Macaca fascicularis: one gene and its partners. The protein of the gene in region 3 interacts with the protein of the main gene of each other region in a biochemical or structural test. Links are inferred from orthologs where the notes say so. Each region holds a gene or a part of one and is shown on either strand. Other genes may lie near its edges. The genes, in order: LCP2, KHDRBS1, ITK and ERBB3.

What was found.
Region 1: the proteins of ITK (region 3) and LCP2 form a complex in vitro, tested with the Homo sapiens proteins (2 studies listed by BioGRID, with this or other methods). The link is inferred for Macaca fascicularis from reciprocal best matches to the Homo sapiens genes ITK and LCP2.
Region 2: the proteins of ITK (region 3) and KHDRBS1 form a complex in vitro, tested with the Homo sapiens proteins (4 studies listed by BioGRID, with this or other methods). The link is inferred for Macaca fascicularis from reciprocal best matches to the Homo sapiens genes ITK and KHDRBS1.
Region 4: the proteins of ITK (region 3) and ERBB3 form a complex in vitro, tested with the Homo sapiens proteins (2 studies listed by BioGRID and IntAct, with this or other methods). The link is inferred for Macaca fascicularis from reciprocal best matches to the Homo sapiens genes ITK and ERBB3.

Annotation. Positions count from the first base shown.
Region 1 is NC_088380.1:177,052,803-177,057,727, forward strand, and holds the end of LCP2 (lymphocyte cytosolic protein 2), read right to left. Parts: intron 4,002-4,925; coding exon 3,846-4,001; intron 1,937-3,845; coding exon 1,814-1,936; 3' UTR 1,199-1,813; downstream 1-1,198. UniProt on the Homo sapiens protein: Adapter protein primarily involved in signaling pathways within T-cells, as well as other immune cells such as platelets, mast cells, and natural killer (NK) cells.
Region 2 is NC_088375.1:203,015,382-203,021,336, reverse strand, and holds the start of KHDRBS1 (KH domain-containing, RNA-binding, signal transduction-associated protein 1), read left to right. Parts: upstream 1-2,358; 5' UTR 2,359-2,492; coding exon 2,493-2,874; intron 2,875-5,955. UniProt on the Homo sapiens protein: Recruited and tyrosine phosphorylated by several receptor systems, for example the T-cell, leptin and insulin receptors. Once phosphorylated, functions as an adapter protein in signal transduction cascades by binding to SH2 and SH3 domain-containing proteins.
Region 3 is NC_088380.1:163,973,435-163,979,122, reverse strand, and holds the start of ITK (tyrosine-protein kinase ITK/TSK), read right to left. Parts: upstream 3,775-5,688; 5' UTR 3,654-3,774; coding exon 3,516-3,653; intron 1-3,515. UniProt on the Homo sapiens protein: Tyrosine kinase that plays an essential role in regulation of the adaptive immune response. Regulates the development, function and differentiation of conventional T-cells and nonconventional NKT-cells.
Region 4 is NC_088385.1:62,863,933-62,869,817, forward strand, and holds the start of ERBB3 (receptor tyrosine-protein kinase erbB-3), read left to right. Parts: upstream 1-2,511; 5' UTR 2,512-2,612; coding exon 2,613-2,700; intron 2,701-3,119; exon of another isoform or gene 3,120-3,180; intron 3,181-3,381; exon of another isoform or gene 3,382-3,542; coding exon of another isoform or gene 3,543-3,624; intron 3,625-5,885. UniProt on the Homo sapiens protein: Tyrosine-protein kinase that plays an essential role as cell surface receptor for neuregulins.

The DNA of each region.
Region 1 (4,925 bases), about 13 Mb from region 3:
TCATGAAAACATTAGCTTCCCAATACTGATTTCAGTCATAGCCGTGGAACAGAACATCTTAATCCTAATGGCCCTTTCCACTAAGAGACTTAAAATGAGCTTTGGTTTGTTTTATAAACATGATTCACTACCAAATAGTCGCTTTGAAATCGATCAGGTCCTTCATTTTAGATATTTTTGAATCGTAAGGATAGAATACGGTGAAGCAAGACAAGTTGAGCTTACTCGATACTAGAACCTGTGGTGTATGCTATCCTTATTACCTTGTACCTAGCTCACTTGTTTACCACAGAAGAGACACTAAGTAAACACTTGCTGAATAGCCTATTGTATAGACATGTAAATGAATGCAGAGTTTTCAGCCTTAGAACTCCCAAGTTTTGGACCCTAACTGAGAACTTCTGGTTATTAAGGATGAGATTTTGTGAAACATCATTTTTACCAGTTAAAAGTCTCTACATTCCGCATACTCCTTATCTTAACATATCATCAGTTTTAAAATGGTGACTTCTTAGATTCCTTCCAATACCCCTTTTATTAGCTCATGAAAATGAAGATGCAAGATACTCTTTTCCATTTCGAAAACTTGCAGATTAAGCAGAGATACCAAAAATTGTTGCTAATAAAAGTTGTGCAATAACAACCAAGGTCCCAAAGGGAAAAACTTGAAGAACAACTGATTGTCACTATTTGACTGAATACCAGTTTTTTAATCTGGCTGAATGCCTATATTTTTTGTTAAGTGAGATTAGTAAACTGAAGGAAAGAGTTTAGTTACTTCAAAGCACTTATACAACCTGTTTGGGAAGGATGAGGAGAAGGGACTTTATGGCAGAGCTGTCAGGGGGATAACAAGAGATAGAAGAGCCATATCTAATAAGAAAGTCTGATCAAATTTATCTAAAGTGTTGCTCCCTCATCCTCCCAGGGAGCCTTTGGTAAAATCTATGTCCCTGGACAATGCTTTTGGGGTTGAGAGAAGGTTGGTGGGGAGGTGTAATGGTTAGTGTGGGTGTGGAGATGTGAAGAAACGGCAATTTAACCCCAGATGTATTTATTAAACATAGACCCACGATACACCAAAGTCTTATCCCTAAATTTAAAATGTTTTGGTATTTGTAGTTTAAATTTTCTTTAAGACGAAAATATAACAGTATGGACTAAAAGTCAATAAAGTTGTTTTAGGAAACCAAAAAAGTAAAGCAAAAGACTATTTTAATCCCAGAAGTTATCTCAACATGCATTTATCTTTTCATAAAAAAATTACATAAAAATCCCCCCAGGAAAAAAATACCAAATAAGTAAGAGTGAAATTATATTTTTGAAGCCTCTTAAATTATTGCTGCTGAGAAAATGAGGTTTAGTAATTTTCAAATTACATGTATAAAACTAATAAATGCCTCTGACTGACAGAGGTTTGGCTGTAAGAAAATCAGTTTTATGTGATACCAATAACTATTACTGTTTCAGTGTTTTAAAACTTGCCCCAAATTGTTTTTGTAGCTGTGTAAACTATTGTATTTTGAAATGGGCATTAAAAAAACTTTTAAAAAATGAATTATTACAGTGCACTACTAGACTTCAAGTGTGAACATGACTTATGCACTTTACAAACATTGAAGAAGAATAAATAAATTATGGGATATTTGACAGTCTTCATTTCAAACACTGTTTTTAAAGGGAAGGCTAAAACCCTTGTGTTCATGGGGAGGGGTTCAGTTCAGTCCTAAGTGTTTGTCCGTTGGCCAAGGCTGGTTGATCTCGTGCTGGCAGCAGAGGCAGGAGGAGGGCTCGCTCGCTCGGCTCTAACTTGCTATGGGTGCCCTGCCGCATGCGTTAATGTGCACTGGTATCTGGAACCTCGGTTTTTCCCATCAATGAGCAGAAGTGGCATTTTCCTGAAGTAGCCAATAATATCTGACACAGACAGGAAGTCCTGGAAGAGCCAAGATAGGGGGATGAGTCAACATTGGAATGAAAAGCAGGAACTTCACCTTCAGTTTTTTAGCCGCATAATATATCCTGCCTCTTCAAGTGATGAGGATTGTGGGAAAAAATGTAAATGTGGCAATTAGTTTAATGATTTCTGCTATAGAACTTTGAAGAAAAATTTCCCATAAACATCCAGCAAACCATAGATAAAAGATCAAATACGGGCCAGGTGCGGTGATTCACGCTGGTAATCCCAGCACTTTGGGAGGCCACGGCAGGTGGATCACCTGCGGTCAGGAGTTTGAGACAAGCCTGACCAACATGGTGAAACCCTGTCTCTACTAGAAAACACAAAAGTATTAGCTGGGCTTGCTGGCGTGCGCCTGTAATCCCAGCTGCTTGGGAGGCTGAGGCAGGAGAATTGCTTGAACCTGGGAGGCGGAGGTTGCAGTGAGCCAAAATTGCACCACTGCAGCACTCCAGGCTGGGTGACAAGAAGGAAACTTCATCTCAAAAAAAAAAAAAGATAAAATATGTGCACGTGTGTGTGTGTGTGTGTGTGTGTGTATTTATATATATATATATGTAATTTGAAACGCATATATTTTAACTTCATATGAAGGGGTCATGTACATAGTCACAATTACAATATTCTTGCCTCAGGTTGCTCTGTTTTTGGTTTTGGTTTCAGTTTCTGTATCTCTGTTTCACCCCCAGTCGTTAATAGTGTTAGGAAGTATAAGGACTCAGGAGGTCAGACACAGTTCATGGTGTCTAGAGGTGGGATATGCAGCATGGCACGGGGGTTCCTTCCTGATCTCTCTGCTGTGTCCTCACTGCCACCTTCACACTCATAAGGGCTCAGCAGGCAAGTCTTTGCAGCCATAGCCTGGATCGCCCCAGCCTTGATTGCTTGCTAGAGAGGGAAAAGCCTAATTCATTTTTCTAGACATGGGTCACAACTCACCTAGGAACCCTAACAGGATAATGCACTTCCTTGAAGACTAATCTGCTAGGTGCCTGCCTCCATGGGAGCTGCAATGAGTGGTTGGCCTGAACTTGTGTGTTTCCACACTGTACCAAGATACATCTTGAAGGGCAAATACCTCTGCTTCTATAGGGTCTGTGCAGCTCTATCCACTGCCAACCAGTGATTCAAACATTTGACCACAAGTATGCATTTTGTTTTCTATTCATTATCATTATCATAACAGAAGTATGTGAAGCCGAAGTTATGGGTAAGCTGTTTCTCATTCTGGACATGTTTGATTCAGCTGGTCCTCCTCTTGGAACTTTGAACTTAGAATTTGTTTGGGGCATTACCTTCAGTTGTTAGTTTCCTTTGCAAAACACTAGCCCTGAGGGTTTTTTTCCATCAGTTCTGATTATCACTCAAAAAGTGACTGGCATGAGAATCTAAACCTTGGCCTAACAGAGAAGAATTTCTTTGGCAATCTGGCCATCTTCACAAGGCCAAAGCTCCATTTTGTTAAGAAATGAGCCAAGTATTTGAATAATCACCCCAGCAAATATTATAATTTTTCCTCTTTTCCAGGTGGTGTCAACTTAAAATGCAACCTACATTAAAATTATGTCACAGAGGTGAATAATAGCAGGAACTTACCTTTGACACCATCTAAATAGATTTTTTTAAGTTAACATACTTTTTCTTGCTTTTGAAAATTATACATGGGATTATTTGGAATAAAAGATATACAAGAAAGAATCCTATGGCAGAAGTAACCATTGTAAAGATTTTGCTTTATTTCTCTTCCAATAAATGAAGGGCTTCACTAATGTGATTTAATTCTAAATTTGCCATACAGCATGGACTTCCAAAGATTGCTCCATGAAGGCATGCAGAGTGGCATAAAAAAAGACTTTGGGAAAATGTTGAAATTTGAAATCCTTACCTCTTTCCCTCGGAGTCCAGTTCCCAACAAGTAAACTTGACTTTCCTTCTGATAACGGATCTGGATGTTGTAAACTTTATCTTTGTACAACACCATGAGGACATATGGATTGGTTATTGTTTTTTTAGAGCTGTCTCTAACCAGAAATGTGCCATCCTAAAAAGATAAATTCCTGTTATTATGGGAGAGTAAAAGTCAATATTTTTGTTGCTTGCAAGAATAGTAGACCAGCCTCCAGGGATCTGACAAACATGTCAGTTGCACTTTGCAGCTTCTTGAGTGCAAAACCCGTCATTCAACGAACATTCAGTTCTCCACACAGCTACAGATCCCATGTGTCATGAGTTATTTTGTTGTTAAGAAAGGCAACAGAGATTGTATCAGAGAAATTTCCGAGTCAATCTCGTTAAAGTCTCTTATAAAAATGGAATCTTTTGTTCCCTAATAAATAATGGGTGGTTGAGTGGATAAAAGGCCAGGAGAAATAAAAAACTTTATTGGTTAACTCAAGATATATCTTCCTACTATTCCTGTGAGTTAATTCCCTAACCTTTCTCTTCCACATCCAAAGTCAGAAAAGACCCAAATGCCGTGAAATTCACCCTTCTTAAAACCTTGTGATCCCTAGATAGTCTTTCCTTCATCAGACACTTGAACAAAATTGAATGCAGATGTTCTCTTTTCTTTTCTTTTTTTCTGATATTTGCTAAACTACTGTTTTGATTGTCCTGTACTTTAAATTTCCATTCAATAAATTATTGCTACATAATATTAATGCTATAAAGATCTAATATTAAGATAGAATTAATTGGAAAGGACTCCTTTAAACTACTCCCTTCTCCTCATACCAAATCAGGATAGCTTTAAATAGCCATGAGTTGGCAATAATGGCTTTCCTTTGTTCGTTTTATTGCAAGTTAATTGAGCCTGTCAGAACATCTCTGCTAAACAAACATACTTCTGGATCAGTGATTCACAGTCTTGGCTTCAAATCAGAATTACCTGGGAAGTTTTGAAGACTCCAGAGCTGACACAGCACCCCAGAATAATTAGAATCTTAAGGCGAGACTCAGGAATCGG
Region 2 (5,955 bases), on a different chromosome or scaffold from region 3:
TGCCTTGGGATTACAGGCATGAGCCACTGCACCTGGCCTGCACTTAATTTTCAACTATCTTTTTGACATTCATCACATTTCATTCATTACAAGCACTCAAAAATATTTTTTTTCCTACTTGACTGAGGACAAGAGTCACTTCTTGGAACCTCAAAGTAAATGTATATATACTTTTTTTTTTTTTTTTTTTGTGAGGAGGAGTCTCCCTCTGTCACCCAGGCTGGAGTGCAGTAGTGTGATCTCGGCTCACTGCAGCCTCCGCCTCCCGGGTTCAAGCGATTCTCCTGCCTCAGCCTCCCGAGTAGCTGGGATTACAGGCGCCCGCCACCACCCCCGGCTAGTTTCTGCATTTTTAGTAGAGGCAGGGTTTTGCCATGTTGGTCACGCTGGTCTCGAACTCCTCACTTCAGGTGATCCGCCCACCTCAGCCTCCCAAAGTGCTTGGATTACAGACATGAGCCACCGCAGCCGGCCTATATTTTATATTACATATATATAATTTATGTGGATATGTGTGTTTTGTTTTCATTTCTGTGGGTGACTTGGTAAATCCCCTCCCTTAACCCAAGAAGGCCTTTAGGTTCTCTAGTTAAAGGGTTCTAAGTTTCACATCCAAAAATCAACAGTTTCCAGGCACTCAGAAGACAATTTCCGAAGAAACTTTTTTTCCTTGTTTTTTTTGTTTGTTTTTTGGTTTTTTGAACGGAGTCTCGCTCTGTTGCCCAGGTTGGAGTGCAGTGGCGCGATCTCGGCTCACTGCTGCCTCCGCCTCCCTGGTTCGAGCAATTCTCCTGCCTCAGCCTCCCAAGTAACTGGGATTACAGGCACGCACCATCACACCCCGTTAATTTTTATATTTTTAGTAGAGACGGGGTTTCACCATGTTGGCCAGGCTGGTCTCCACCTGGCCTCAGGTGATTCGCCCACCTCGGCCTCCCAAAGTGCTGAGATCACAGGCGTGAGCCACCGAACCCGGTGGAAACTTTTTTATTGTTAGAGATGAGGTCTCATTACATTGTCCAGACTGCTCTCGAACTCCTAGCCTCAAGTAATCCTCCCATCTAGGCCTCCCAAAGTGCTGGGATTACAGGCATAAGCCACCGCACGAGGCCCCAAAGACTTTTGAAAAGTGTGGGCTCATTAGGAGAACTGATCCAGAAGAAAAAGAGATGGGAGTGAGTGCTTTAAATGGAAGAAGAAAAAAATCTGTGGAGGGAACGAAAAGTTAGAGACAGCACTAAGCTTTTGATGGTTTATGGGACAAGTAGGGACCTAACGCTCCACCTGCATATAGCACTCCAGGATGTGGAGAACGCCGTGGGAGACTGGCCATCTGGCCTTTGAGAGTAGTGGCAAGGGTCTCTTTGAGCAAGTCTGGAGTGGTAGAAGGAGCCACCCTAATGATGCAAGCAACGTGGATTAAGGATCTGGTCTCTACTCCACTTTTTGGCAGAAGAATCACTTAATTGGCAATGACAACGGCAAAACAAAACACAATTCAGAGAAAGCAGTAAAATATATAAAAAGAGCTAAAATGCTGCTTAAGATTTCCCTGACCAACAACGGCAACCGTTTTAGAACCGACTGGAAGAGATCTAATACTGGAAATACATACACTGGAAACGACTTCTTGTGTTCCCTATGTCTGGGGCCCTTTTCTTTGCTAGACTTCAGATCTCTGATCCGAGCCATCCCTCTTAGCTCATGTCCTCCAGTAGCCTTCAGAGTTTCCACCGAGCCGTCCTTTCTCAATTTCTCCCTCCAGGTTTCCCTTCCCCAACTTCCCCTCCTGCATCGGACTCTCCCTTAGCCTTCCTTTCTCCCTCCTGTCTTCCTCCCCCGGCGGTCTCAATTCTCTCTCCCTCCCCTTTCCGTGTCCCTCACGGCAGTCTCCTTTTATTTCCTTACTTCGGTGACCGCCCCCCACCCCACTTCCATCCCCACCCCACTCCCCACCCCACTCCCCACAGCCTCCCTCCGCTGCTCAGCCGTTGGAGAGGGCGTGGCCCCGCGAGTAACAGGTCTCCCGCCCCACACTCCGCGGGCCCGCGCGCAGACAAAGACATTCCACAGCTCCCGCCCCCTCCACGCAGTAGGCCAGAAGAGGGAGGAGACACGTGTCCCGCTAGCGCCGAGTCACGTGGAAAAGGAAACGAACGGAGCCTGCGGCCTCCCGCGCATGCGCGTCAAGCTCTGGCCTGGCGGGCGCGGAGGGAAAGCCAGAGTCAGGAGGCGACTTCTTCGGACGCCGCGGCGGTGCGCAGGCGCCGTGGCCGGACTGGGGACTTTGTTCTCCGCGGAGAAACCCAAGGGCGGTGCCGGTGACTGGCTGCGCACGCGCGCCGCCTCATTTCCGGTGCTCTCTCTCGCTGGGTCGCTCGGGTCGGCTTCGGTCGCTACTGCTCCCGCTCTCCCACCCCCGCCAACCGCCGCTTGGGCCTCCGTCGCTGCCGCGTCGCTCTCTCGCTCCTTGGTTTCGCACATCCTCCCCGATGCAGCGCCGGGACGACCCCGCCGCGCGCATGAGCCGGTCCTCGGGCCGCAGCGGCTCCATGGACCCCTCCGGTGCCCACCCCTCGGTGCGTCAGACGCCGTCTCGGCAGCCGCCGCTGCCTCACCGGTCCCGGGGAGGCGGAGGGGGGTCCCGCGGGGGCGCCCGGGCCTCGCCCGCTACGCAGCCGCCACCGCTGCTGCCGCCCTCGGCCACGGGTCCCGACGCGACAGTGGGCGGGCCAGCGCCGACCCCGCTGCTGCCCCCCTCGGCCACAGCCTCCGTGAAGATGGAGCCGGAGAACAAGTACCTGCCAGAACTCATGGCCGAGAAGGACTCGCTCGACCCGTCCTTCACTCACGCCATGCAGCTGCTGACGGCAGGTAAGGGGGCCTCCTGGGTCCCTCGGCCATCCTGGGGCATGAGTGGCCCTGGCTTTGTTCCTCTCGCTTCCCGCCCCCTCGGGACCGAGGCAGTCGGGAGCTCCGGTGTCATCCTCATCTTTGGGAGCCTGGATTCCACATTCCCACCTCAACCCGGAGTGCGTGGGAGAATTTCTAGGCTGCAGTGGAGGCCCAAAGGCGACTTTGCGATCTCCTAGCGCTAACGTCTTGATGGATGGTGCTGAGCTCCCCGCCCCTTTCCCGACTCTTCCCTCCTCCCTCCTCTTGCGGCTGCCGGGCGCACAGATTCTTCCAGAAATTAACCTGTATTTCCCCCTTTCCCGAAGGGAAACCCTTTTTGATCGCGGGTGGCGATGAGCGCTTCGTCCGAGGTGTAGGAAGTGAAGACAGCCGGAGCGGGGAGGGACCGTGGGAGGAAGGGCCGAGGTGAGGTGGGGTGAGGCTGGAATACCCTGTCCAGCGCCTCGCTGTCGCTGGGGCCGAGCCGGACTTAGCGGTAACCGCAGCTTAAGTTGCTGGGAGGAAGGAGCGATTTATGGGATCGGAACTTGAGGTTTCCGAATCAGATTTCCGACTAAGGCTGATAAAGTAAGAATTGCTACTGAGCCTGAAGGTTGTCCTCTTTCATTTTACACTGTGTGTTCACTATCATGGAAGAAGGAGTGAAATAACCCTAGAGACAGTGAAATGGGACGATAGGGTCTCCCGCGTAGTTCACATAACGTTTCCCAACGAGATGGACAGAAGTTGAGAGAAGTGGCATGATGCTTGTACTGAAAGACTTAGTCTTTTTGTTGCTGTTTTTTTACATTTTTGATTCAGTAGTGAAATAAATTAGAAATGAGAGTCTTTGTTCTGTAGATTAGCGCTCTTTTCTTGATCAGCACTAGCCAATCACCTAATCGCTCTGATTTTTCCCTAAAGCTGTGTGACCTTCGCTTCAAGTTAAAACATTATTTTAATAAATATTTCTTATGATACCTAAATTTTAGTAAGCAAGTAAAAATTCACATCCTTCAACACTGAATGAGTAGTTGGACTCTTTGGGAAGGTTAATATAATGGGCAGTTCATTATGAAAATATTATCTCCCTCTCTTTGTTCTCTGTCTCCCAACACTGTAAGGTAAGGGATCTTTACCAGTGTGGTGTTCATCTTTTATATGCTTTCTTAAGATAACTGTCAAAAACTATTGATCCTTAAAAGTTACTTAGAATTTTCAGCCTTCCCTCACTGCTTAACTAAGAGAGGAGTGCTCTTTATTTTTAACCTGGGCTTTCTGGATGTATTTTTTTTTAAACCCAACTGAAATTGGAGAAGTGTGGTTGAGGTAATGTTGGTTTGGGATGTATGAATTCTTTTTAGCATGGGTAAGTGTTAGTATATGTTGAGCCTGGCTTTTAAGGTATTTCTGAATTATCTTGCGAGGGGATTGCAGTGAAGTCGCAACCCATTGTGAGGAAGTGAGACTTTGAGAAGATAGAATAGTAGTATTTAAGCTCTGGTAAGATCACATGGAAGGGGCGGGCGCGGTGGCTCATGCCTGTAATCCCAGCACTTTGGGAGGCCCAGACGGGCGGATCACGAGGCCAGGAGTTCGAAACCAGCCTGACCAACATGGTGAAACCCCCGTCTGTACTAAAAATACAAAATTAGCCTGGCGTGGTGGCGCATGCCTGTAATCCCAGCTACTTTGGAGGCTGAGGCAGGAGAATCGCTTGAACCTGGGAATCGAAGGTTGCAGGGAGCCCAGATTGCACCATTGCACTCCATTCTGGACAACAAGAGCTAAACTCCATCGCAAAAAAGGAGAGGAAAAAAGAACACATGGAAGAAAAATATAGCTAAGACTTCATGTTTGAGGTCTGAGCACTTTACATTAAATATTTAACCTATGAAATGAGAACTTTTATTATCCTCATTTTTACAGATGAGGAAACCAAGGCACCCAGAGATTAATAATTTGCCTAAGGTAACAAAATTAGTAAGCAGCATAACCAGGGTTTTAAGTCAGTCTACACACCTTCCCCGTTCCCTCACTGTAGTGCCTGCTGCAAATTATACTTTAAAAGTAAGCTATAATTGGACAAAATATTAAAATCTAGCTGGGGTGATAGGTGACCCAAAAAAAAAGTGTATTTGAAAGTATAAAAAAAAAAAAGACAAAACTTTGAGGGATGTAGATTTTGAATATAGACTTCTGTGTTAAGCAGATTGATATTCAGCAGCGAGGACAGTCGAATGTATTTGCAGACATAAAGATTCAGTCATCCATCTTTGTTTTCTGGAAGAGAAATAATTTACCTTATTGTGTTAATGTATTTATATACTAAGTAAAATGCTGTTATATATGTCAGTGTTCTTTTTCTTTTTTTTTTTTTTTTTTTGAGACGGAGTTTCGCTCTTGTTGCCCAGGCTGGAGTGCAGTGGCGCAATCTCGGCTCACCGCAACCTCTGCCTCCCAGGTTCAAGCGATTCTCCTACCTCAGCCTCCCTAGTAGCTGGGATTACAGGCATGTGCCACCACACCCGGCTAATTTTGTATTTTTAGCAGAGACGGGGTTTCTCCATGTTGGTCAGGCTGGTCTCAAACTCCCGACTTCAGATGATCCGCCCATCTGGGCCTCCCAAAGTGCTGGGATTACAGGCATGAGCCACTGCGCCCGGCCTCTTTTTCTACTTTCTACAACTAGTAAAATATAAGTTAGTGTAAGTGACTCAAGAATAAACATTTTGAATAGATTAGCAATCTGCAAAAGATCTTGGAGGGATAATCAAAAATCCATCCTTCAGAAGGATGGAAAAAGTGGAAAACATTTTACAAAGTCTGTTGAAACTTCAAAATAGTTAATTCCTTTATTTACAATATTCTCTAGAAATACATTAAGACCTTCCCAGTTCATTCCACAGGGCTAGCAAAACCTGCTATTAAAACTGGAAAATAAGGGCCGGGCCAGTGGCTCACGCCTGTAATCCCAGCACTTTGGGAGGCTGAGGTGGGCAAATCACGAGGTCAGGAGTTCAAGACCAGCCTGGTCAACTTGGTGAAACCCCTTCTCTA
Region 3 (5,688 bases):
GATCCCACATCTAGAAAGTGGCCACAGGAGCCACACCAATCTATGATGCTTTATTCCCATCTAGGCTGCCTCTTCCATTCTGTGCTTACTCAAAGCGCCTGAGGTTCTTCACTTTCTTTTTACCACTGAAAAGGATCTGATATCAGTCATGTGCAACTAAGTATGCTGCTTAGTTGGTGGCTACCTCTTCAAGGATCATTTGTTCTTAGGCTTGCCAATGATGTGCTGGACTTGGCTTGTACTGGCCTGAGGTAGCTAATTGTTAAATTTTCAGGAATCTGTGAACCAGCAGACTTCACATTGGTAGTTTAAAATGGGCCATGATGGGAGTATTTACACCAAAGGAATTGGCAAACACTATGAATCAAGGCTATCCAACAAGCCCCATACTCGGATTCCTAAGCATTTACCAGCACACTCATGTGCCCTTATCTCTCATTGCCCTCTGTTATAGAATTTCTGGCATCAGGGACTACTTGGAAAAAAATTGACAGGCACAGGAGAGACTCTGAAATCATGTCTGTCTGCAAGCCGCTACCTGCCAAATCTATGCTTCTTTCTGGCTCACTGCTCCAGCAAGATGAAGGCGCTTTTTGGCCCCTCTGAAAACACTTGCACATCTCAATAGGAAAAACAGGCATCTAACACCAGAACTAAATCCATGTTAAAGTAAAAGCCTCAATCAATTAGTATTATAATGACAATAGGCATGATTTTTAAGGTTAGAATAAATATACTTGATTTATAGAACTACAGAATATGTTCTTGAGTATGTAGAAGGGTTATTTTTCATATGGTGTTATAAATTCATAGAATATGAGAATTGCAGGAATCATAATTTTACAAATGAGAAAAGAGAAAAACAAGCTCTGACACCCTAAGAGGGGCAATAACTGGCCAAACAGCTCATGATGCATGTATATCTACCCCACAAACTTGTATTGCCACAGAATAGAAGGAATCCAGGACCCTGATCTTAGCTTGATTTTGGAGAATCCTTGAATATCTCCCATAATTTGAAAATGAATTGTTATGACACCCTGCTAGCTTCTGTAGAGATGTGAAAGGGATACAAACAATGGTTAACTTTTAGTAGATGCTTACCAGATGGCAGGGCCTATGCTAAGTACCTAACATTAAGTTGAATTGTTTGAGACTTCTAATACCTGATATTCGACCTGCCAAATAATTTCAAAAAGTTCAGCCTAAAGACATTATACCTCTGAGTCTTTGCCTTCTTCCTATGAAATGGGTACTAGTATCACATCCATTTTACAGATTGAAAGTGAAGGCTTTAATTTAAAAATGAAAATGTTCTTCCCACAGGTGTAATGTTATTTACTTATGAGTAATATTAATGCACTCTTGTGTACAAATTGGTGGCCCTAAACGATGTAGTATACATAAGACATGGACGATAATAACTCACATATATTACCTGTTTCAGGGACCTTGGATAAATTTCTAATTAATCAATTTCTATAATAATTAAATAATTAAAGAAATACTTTAAAAATGTTATTTATAAGTGCAAAAAAGGCATTAGAAAACAAGAAATTTGATGTTTGGACATGTATTCTCTGTATCTTACATGGAAGTATCAGAAACTACAGCCTAGGGCTCCCCAGAATGAAGTAATTGTCTTGGAATTTTTCATAATGCTCAGATAAAGAAGTAGGGTGATTTTACAACCTTGTCTACTTGCAAATTATGACCAATAAAATTCTGAATTGAGGCCATCTGGTTCTGTGATTATTTGCAAATAATATTGAGCTGAATTCACAAACAGTTCATAAATAACAATTGGGCTAAAGAATTATTAGTACTAACTAAATAAGATGATACTATGTTGAATCAGGAAAACAAACTGGTGAAAACTGTAAAATGGGCTTTGAAAAAAATATTTAAAGGTACATGACTGTTCTTTCAATATGAAACAAAAACTTTAAATGTTCCATTCACAAAAAAGCATTGAGTAATGCCATGCGATTTATTAGCTCTACATGATAAATCCCCCAAGTTCACAAACTGGGCTCCTGGCCACCTGGCAGAGGCCTCGCACATAATTCCATGTGTTTTCTGATTGACTGGTAAATTGTTATCAGTAAGAGTCTGATAACAAGACAAGCAATTCTTTTCACTTTTAAAGAGGCAGCACTATTTTGCCTGTAACTTTTTTTTTTTTTTTTGTAATTCATCAAAGACATGCAACACCTGCAACTTTAAAAAGTGAGGCATCCATAGACTCTATACCCAGCCTGACCTCCTTTGGAGCTCCACCTCATGAAATGCTTTAAAGCCTGGCACGCCAAAGAATCCCAAACTCATGCCTCCAGCTACTAAGTCAGACTCCAACAAAGAATCAGAGCACTTTTGTTTCTAAGTGACCATCAGGCACCTAATATTATTTTCCCTTCAGTAAAATATAAGTGATAATCTTTGTCCTACCCCACTAATGATGTAAAAATAATATAACCATACAGTAAGGAATCAAACACGCTTTGAAAAATTGCAGCATAGGGCTAAACAAGAGCCATTGCATAAAGCAAAGAAGTTTTAAAGAAGAAAGGGATCTTGAAGGTTGTTATTTCCAGTTTTTTCCTTTGATAAAGAAAGAACCTGAAATAGGGGGTAGACATTTGTCCAGATTGGATCACCTACTGAGAAGTAGTTTGGTCTCCTGACCCTTTGTCCAATGCTTTTTCTGCCAAACTACATTATTAGGATTATTCCTGTTGCTTTTGTTATTACTGATCTTAAAGAAGCATGAGACTATTTTGAGATACAGAGACAGACTGACCTAGCTAAGCAGCCATACTCTTCTGGGTAAGAACCGCTGGTCTGCACTGCAGAAACTTTGTTCTTAATAAACCTGGTGTCCTAGGAAGTCTACCAAGAGATGAAGAGGCTTGCCATTGTGCCTTACAACTTTTAGACAATTAAATGCCTGGGGAATCTTATTTCAAGATTGGGCAAGTGACGAGTATTGCGACAGACAGAGTTATTCATGAAAACGTTAACACGGAACCCCAAATTTAACCATTCTAAACACCAGTTTCTTCCACTAAAAATAAGCAAGCTGGGGTAGATCATCCCATCGAATGCTAATGTTGTATTAATCTAAGTTTCATTAAATTTAGTATGTTTCATTAAGTTTAGTATGTTTCATTAAATTTGGTATGTTTCATAGAAAGTTCAAGTTTTAATGAATCATAATACTTGCTTCCTAAAATGTTATTAATAATTTAAAAATCAAACATAATCTTGCACGGGGAAAAAGCTGATGAATATTAAATTTCCAGTTTTTAGAACTGAAATTGCCTCGCACCACCATTTCACCTCTTGACTGCTCTCTGCATTCTCCTCTGGTTACTTTTACTGTACTTTTTATGTTGTTACAACAAGCATGTTTGTGTTTCCTGTATTCTATTGTATGCTATGTATATACTTTTGCATTAGCCCAGTCCAAACATAAAATACTATGCGAAAAAAGACAAATGAAACTGCTCACATACCCCATGACGATCCTCAAAGTATGCCAGGCTGGCTTTGGTTAACACAAAGAAGCGGACTTTAAAGTTCGAGGGAGAAGTTCTTCTCTTTTGTTGGGATTTCTTGATGAGCTGTTCTTCCAGGAGGATAAAGTTGTTCATGATCCAGTTCTTGAAACGTGATGCACCTTGGGCATCACCTCTCAGCACAACCAAAGGGAAGAGTTTTGGGGCAAAGAATGCAATGTGGAGGCAGTTGATCTTCAGAGAGTTGCTCAAGGGCAACTTGCCTTCAACGTTATCTTTCTATCAACATTCAGCCAACATAGCTGAGCGTCTCCTCTGATGTCAAAGGCCATAACCACATCCTTTCAAAATTCACAAAACGAGGAAGCATATGTAAAAAATACATACAGCCTTTGCTATATGGCTCAAAATGATATTTGAAAAACTGTAGACTTAAAATTATGGTAAGGATTACAGTTTAGTCTTTATAGTTCCTGGTTTAATCCATCCAATCCATCCAGCAGTTAAAACATGTAGCACAAGGGGTAAGGACAATGCGTGGTTTTGCTTACCATGATATACTCGGCAACCATCACAGTGCCTGACACATAAAAAAGATGTTTAAGAAAAATTTGTTGAATGGATCTTCGCCAAATTGGGTTTGACAATTAAAAGAGGTAATGAGCACAAACCCCTCACACATTAAAATGAAGAAATATGTTGCTGAAGTTTATTAGTTTTTAAGATTTAAATTAAAGCCCACAGAAATTTCTCAATGCTACATATAGATGATTGCCTTTCTGTCCTGACATTTTGTGAAACAGTGAAAAATAAGCGAATCCTTCAGAATGGCATAATAAACAAAGTATATATGGGCTTTAAAAACAAACAAACTTGTGTTGGATTACCAGATCTGTCACTTACTAAGCTGTTTCTCTTTGAGCAAGCTGTGCCTCCTCTGATCCTTAGCTTCCTTGTGAGGGTCCCTTGGAGGACTGAATCCCATACCTCTTACAAATGGTGGGTGCTAGTCATGCATGTTGCCTTAGAGTTAGTACGTAGTTGAAAAATAATGTGTGGCATTTATCTCTACCATGTTAATAATCAAGAGATTTTAGTGTAAGCAGAGATGGCATGTACTGGGTAGTGATAAATAATAAATGAAACAATCATTCTTGCTGTATAGGAGTGAAATTCTCCAATGTTTATTTTTAAATGTAAATTACCAGACAACAGCCTTATTTTATTTCATATACTGGATGCCCCAGCATAATCAAGACACTCAGGAGGGTAGGGTACAGGTATATTTTAAATGATCTCCCCTATTCTGAGATTTTAAGATATATGTGTGAAAATACGCTGCTCAAACAAGATCTTTTTTTTTTTTTTTTTTCTCCCTGAATATGGGCTTGAGGTAGGGATTGCTGCTTTTCCCAAATATCTACTCTCTCCTTCATACAAGAGTAACTGACTGAATCCCTGATGGTTTTCTGGGCATCTGGCCATCAAGAATAAAGACCACAATTTTTAGCCTCCCTAGTAGCTAGGTGTAGTTATATGACTGTCTTCTGGTCAACTGAATGTACAGAAGTGGTGTGCACAACTTCTAGGAAATTTCCTTAGTGGGATCTGTCATCCCCTTTTCTTTCCATTTTCCTCCTGCCTTCTGACTAGAATGTTGAGGTGACAGTTGGAGCTGAAGCAGCTATCTAGTATCATGAGGTGGAAATTGAATGTTGAGGACAATGGAGTATAAGATAGAAAGAGCCTGGGACCTTGGTGACCATGGATCTTCCATGCCAGTCCTGGATTACCTTTTTTAATATCTATTTTCTGAGTCTCAGTTATTTTGAGGTTTCTGTCACTACCAGGAAACCTAGATAATACAGTAATACAGTGTTATCTTCTCAAACTAGACTACAAACTCCTTTGAGAGAAGTACATTTTATACCTGCTTGGTTCAGATGAAAAGATTCACAGACTTCACAAAGTGTTCTCATCCGGGAAAGCAAAACATCATCAGTAGCTGCTGCAATCGTTAGGAGTCTTTCATTTGCTCAGTCTCCATGGAGTGCCATCATAAGTAGTTTTATTCTCTTTCTCATAGAGCCATCAAACCCACTATCTCGGAATTATCTTTGCCAACTTTAAATTGTAAACTTAGGAAGCTCAATATTTTTTTTCTCACTTT
Region 4 (5,885 bases), on a different chromosome or scaffold from region 3:
CTCTACATCATACAAAAATAATAAATAAATCCTAGGTAGGGCCAGGCCTGGTGGCTCACACCTGTAATCCCAGCACTTTGGGAGGCCAAGGTGGGTGGATCGCCTGAGGTTGGGAGTTCGAGACCAGTCTAGTCAACACAGTGAAACCCCATGCCTGGCCTTATCTAGGATTTTCATTTATTCAGTCAGGACAGCACCCAACAGAGCTGGCCGGTTACCTGGCAGCTTTATCTATTGTGTATATCCCAGGTACTTAGCATGATGTTTCTCTAAGTGTTGAAGAATCCATCGCATCTTGGGATCTAGCTGAGAGAGAAGGGTTAGGGTTGGGAAAATAGCAGAAGATACAGCTAGCATTCACTGAATGCTTCTTAAAGGTTGAGCACAGTAATTCAGAGTTCCACCTGACTTTTCTCATTGAATCCAAACAACAGTCAGCTGGATGCGGTGGCTCATGCCTGTAATCCCAGCACTTTGGGAGGCTGAGGCGAGTGGATTACCTGAGGTCAGAGGTTCAAGACCAGCCTGGCAAAAATGGTGAAACCCTATCTCTACTAAAAACGCAAAAATTAGCCAGGCGTGGTGGCAGGCGCCTGTAATCCCAGCTACTCAGGAGGCTGAGGCAGGAGAATCGCTTGAACTCGAGGGGTAGAGGTTGCAGTGAGCCGAGATCAACCCATTGCACTCCAGGCTGGGCAACAAGAGTGAAACACCGTCTCAAAAAAAAAAAAAAAAAAAAAAAAATTCCAAACAACATTTTTTTTTTTTTTTTTTTTTTTGAGACGGAGTCTCGCTCTGTCGCCCAGGCTGGAGTGCAGTGGCGCGATCTCGGCTCACTGCAAGCTCCGCCTCCTGGGTTTACGCCATTCTCCTGCCTCAGCCTCCTGAGTAGCTGGGACTACAGGCGCCCGCCACCGCGCCCGGCTAATTTTTTGTATTTTTAGTAGAGACGGGGTTTCACCGTGGTCTCGATCTCCTGACCTTGTGATCCGCCCGCCTCGGCCTCCCAAAGTGCTGGGATTACAGGCGTGAGCCACCGCGCCCGGCCCAAACAACAGTCTTATAAGTAGATACAACAGTTTATAAACAAGGAAGCCAAGGAAGATTTTCTCCTTCGGAACTTGGACCCTGAATACTAGGTTGAGCTGGAGCTGAGTGAGTAATAAAATGAAAAGCCCTTTAATGTGGAGGAGGGTAGGTAGGAGTGGAGACCCTTAAGTGGCATCAGCTCTGTTATCCGATGGGAGTGTGAATCCGAACACATGAAGCTCCAGTCTCAGTAGAACAGTAAGAAATCCTAGGGAAGGCCAGGCAGGGTGCTTCACACCTGAAACCCCAACAATTTGGGTAAACTGAGGTGGAAGGATTGCAGAGGCCAGAGGCCAGGAGTTCAAGACCAGCTTGGGCAACATAGCCAGACCCACCCGCCCCCATCTCTACATCATACAAAAATAATAAAGAAATCCTAGGTAAGGCCAGGCGGTAAGGCCAGGTGTGGTGGCTTACACCTGTAATCCCAGCACTTTGGGAGGCCAAGGTGGGTGGATCTCCTGAGGTCAGGAGTTCCAGACCAGCCTGGTCAACACAGTGAAACCTCATCTCTACTAAAAATACAAAAATTAATCGGGTGTTGTGGCAGGCACCTGTAATCTCAGCTACTTGGGAGGCTGAGGCAGGAGAATCGCTTGAACCCAAGAGGCAGAGGTTGCAGTGAGCCGAGATCAAGCCATTGCACTCCAGCCTGGGCAACAAGAACAAAACTCCGTCTCAAAAAAAAAAAAAAAAAAAAAAAAAAGGGAGAAAAAAAGAGAAAGAAATTCTAGGTAAAAGTCTGAGCCCCACTTCTCAGTCACCTGATCACCTCAACCACTGTCACCAGGTGGATGACCTTGGTAATGTCACACATTTCAAGTTCTGTAAAATGGAGAGTTATATTGCCTAAATCATATAATTTTTATGTTAAGTGACACATTCTCTAAGGCGCTAAGTTTGAGGACATACTTTGTAAATGAAATGATATATGGAGATACTGTATATGTTAATGGTTTTGTTGTTGCCATTATTATTATGACTGCTATACACGTGGTCTGGAGAAAGCCAACCTCCCCAAAGCAAAGGTTCTCCAACAGAGAACAGGCCCTCTAGGTTGCATATCAATACAGAGCCTGTTTAAGGAATGTTAGCCGGTAGTCTTTGCTAGGCCTGAGGGGTGAAATTTTTGTTTATCAAGACTCAACTGTTTTCGAAGTCTTCAGGCTTGAAGTTCTGGGGAAAATAACTAGGCACTCTGGGCGAGATCCCCAATACCAGTTTAAGGGATTTGAAATGCAAGGCCGTCTGGGACTCCACTGCCACAGGCTGGGCACCAGGCGGCGCCGGTCGGATCCGTCCCGGGACTAGCAGGGCTTTGGGCCAGTCCGGGCAGCTGGTGCTGGAGGTTCCAGAGGTCCACGCCATTGGTGGACGCAGTCTCTAGTGTCCTCTCCGCATCCCGCTTCACCGCCCCACCCCTTTCCTGCGCGAGCCTGGACTTGGAAGGCACCGGGGAGGGTGTGAGCGCCTTGGTGTGTGCCCATCTGGGTCCCCAGAAGAGCGGCGGGAACTGCGGCCGCATGGACGGTGCGGCCAGACTCCAGAGTGGAAGGGGAGGCAGCTGTTCTCCCAGGCGGCCGTGGGGGGCAGCAGAGGGGACGGCGACAGGTGCGGGAGCCCCTCCCGGGGTAGAAGTGGAAAGGCGGGCTCCGGGGTCTGTTCGCAGGCTGGAAACCACCCCCGCCCCCCATCCAAATCCCGGGAGAGGCCCGGCCGGCGCCGGGTCTGGAGGAGGAAGCGGCCGGAGACAGTGCAATTTCACGCGGCCTCTTTGGCTCGGGTTCCTGGGCTGGGTGGATGAGTTATGGGGTTTCGAGTCTGGGAGAAACTGAGGTGGCCTGGACGTGAGGCAAAAAACACCCTCCCCCTCAAAAACACACAGAGAGAAATATTCACATTCTGAGAGAAAATCCACCAAGTGAACCAACCGGCTAGGGGAGTTGAGTGATTTGGTTAATGGGCGAGGCCAAATTTCAGGAGGCTGGGCTTTGGAGCGCTTACCACTCCCTCATTCATTACCCTTCCCTGGATCTGGGGGCTTTTGGAATCTTGACCTCCCCTTGGCCCAGCTCCTGCAGAAAAATTAGGGTGAGCCCCATCTTCGATCTGCTCCGCCAAGTTGCGGGACCGCGGGGCGTGGCGCGCTCGGGGCGGGCAGTCCGAGGCTCCGCAATCCCTACTCCAGCCTCGCGCGGGAGGGGGCGCGGCCGTGACTCACCCCCTTCCCTCTGCGTTCCTCCCTCCCTCTCTCTCACACACACACACACCCCTCCCCTGCCATCCTGCCCCGGACTCCGGCTCCGGCTCCGGCTCCGATTGCAGTTTGCAACCTCCGCTGCGCCGCAGCAGCCACCAATTCGCCTGCGGTTCAGGTGGCTCTTGCCTGGATGTCCTAGTCTAGGGGCCCCCGGGCCGGACTCGGCTGGGCTCCCTTCACCCTCCGCGGAGTCATGAGGGCGAACGGCGCTCTGCAGGTGCTGGGCTTGCTTTTCAACCTGGCCCGGGGCTCCGAGGTGGGCAACTCTCAGGCAGGTAAGTGGCGCGAGAGCACTGGCGGGCTCGGCACCTGGGAGCCGGAACCCAGTGCGCGAAGCCTCTGAGGGCATGGGCAGGGTCTCAGGCGGCGCGGGGGTGTGGGTGCTGCCCCCGTACGCCGGACCACCTGGGAGTGGGGCGATCAGGCTCGGGTTATCGGCGTGGTCCGGCCGAGGGCGGCATTCTTGGACCCTCACGCCCCCTTCCCCAGAGCGTCGTCGACCCTCTAATTGGTCTCCCCAAAAGAGGCTGAGGCCGCAACAGTAGTTCACACTTCTGAGGGACCCTGCAGGGAGCGGGGCAGGGACCTTAATTCTATAAACAGGAGGTGCTTGGAGGTGGGGGCCTTGGCGGAAGGGTCTCGGTTTGCTCGCCAGCTTCCTGCCCGCCACCCCGCACCGATTTCTGCTACTCCTAGTTTCGTTGTTTTGCCGACAGGGCGGAGCTACGGAAGGTTGGAGGGGGTTGTTGTTCTCTAGTGTTGGAAAAACAGGAGCGGCACCTCCTCTTCCGTGAGTGAGCCTGCCCTGGGGAGGTCTGAGATTAACCAGAGGGCCAAGTTCAGGTGACATCAGGCGGGAGGCCCAACAGAGGCTGGCGTCCGCTTTCCTCAGAATAGCAGAGCTTGAGCAACATCTCTTTGTCAAGATCCAGGTCAACCCAACTCATATTTATTGAGCATCTACTATATACAAGGCGCTAGGCCAGGAACTGTAGGGGCAAGGATTGTCCAGCCTCTTGTCTTTTCTCTCCCCAACCGGAGGATCAAGAGGGCACCTCTACTACTTTCTAAGCCTCCTGCCTTGGGGAGTCCTACCTGGGCCCATCTTGTGCCCCCTGCCCCCATTTTGCTTATTGTCTGAGGACCCTAGACAGAGCCCTGGATTGCTCTTCTCCAGTCCTCCCCCGACTCCCATGCTATCTGAGCCCACCCCTTTGGGGTGTCTCTGGGGCCGTGGACACCTGAGGTTTGAAGTTCTGTGGATCTCCTCCCCTCCCCCCAGATTTCAGCTTGGGATTTGGCACAGCCAGGGCCCCTTCCCCAGTGTGGGAGTGGAAGAAACCACCTGTGCTTCCCCCACAGTTGCTGGGCCTAAATTTAGATCCTGGGATTTTTAGATGTGAACACTCCCAGCTGGTGGAGGGGGGTGGTCTGGGGACTGGCGTGGGAGGGAGCAGTGGGGTGACTGTATAACTGTCCCATCCAGACTCCCGCAATCTTCACCCAGAAACCCAGGAGTACCAGAGTCTGGCCACCCTCCCTGGGTAGGCAGGAGGCAGGCATGGTTGGGTCTCTTTACCCTTTATCTGGGTCCTGCAGCCTCTGGGCATCCGGCCCTGTCTCAGTCCTTCTATAGCCCCTTTGTCCTGGCTGTGATGGGGGTGGGGGATGTTGGAGGGGAGGCTTCTGGTTGAGGAGGGGCTGGAGATTCTGGCTCTATCCCACCCCTAGTGCTCTCTACCAAAGGAGTGCCTGTGCCACTGCCCCTCCTTATGCTCCCGGTCCCTGGGTACAGGAGGGATTTTTATGATTCCCTTCCCCTGCCCTGCTCCCCAAGCTGCCTAGCTCCTCCCCAGACGTGTTGTTTGTGCTCCCTTCCTGCCCAGGCCCTTTGCCCCCTGTTTGTGTAATATGGACTTTACCCTCAGGGGAGCAGGGAACTGGGCTACCTCTAACACTGTAGCCTTCCAAGCACAGACACAAAGTCTGCACAAACACATATGGGCACGTGGGATAGATGGGGCCACCTGAAATACTTCCTGCAAGGAAACCCGACCACAGGTTCCTGGGCCAGCAGGACCAATGTGTACGTGTTCATGTGTATGTTGTGTGTGTGTGTGCCCACACTACTACTTCCCTGTGCAGAAAACTTGGCTCCTCCCTTATCTGGGGAGAAGGATTGGCACTATAACTTGGGAAAGGGGGTGTCCTGCCAGGAAGGGGACTGGGGTGGGGCTGTTCCAGAAATGACTAACCTTCCTAGTCTCTTTCATTTCAACCCAAGGACCCTGGAGTTACCAGCTCCTCTGGAACTAGCTCTCTTTGCTGGGACTAGCCAACCTTCATGGGGAGTGATAAGGAGCCCTCCAAGGTCAAGAATTCAGACTAGGGGTATATAAGAGGGATTGGGGCCTCACCAGTCTCCCTCCCTCCATTCCCACTGTTGCCTCCCACTGACTACCACTGCCTCAGGGAAGGGTGGCTGGAACAGGTGGTATCTACCCCCTATTCCCCACCCCACACGTGGTCTTTCGCT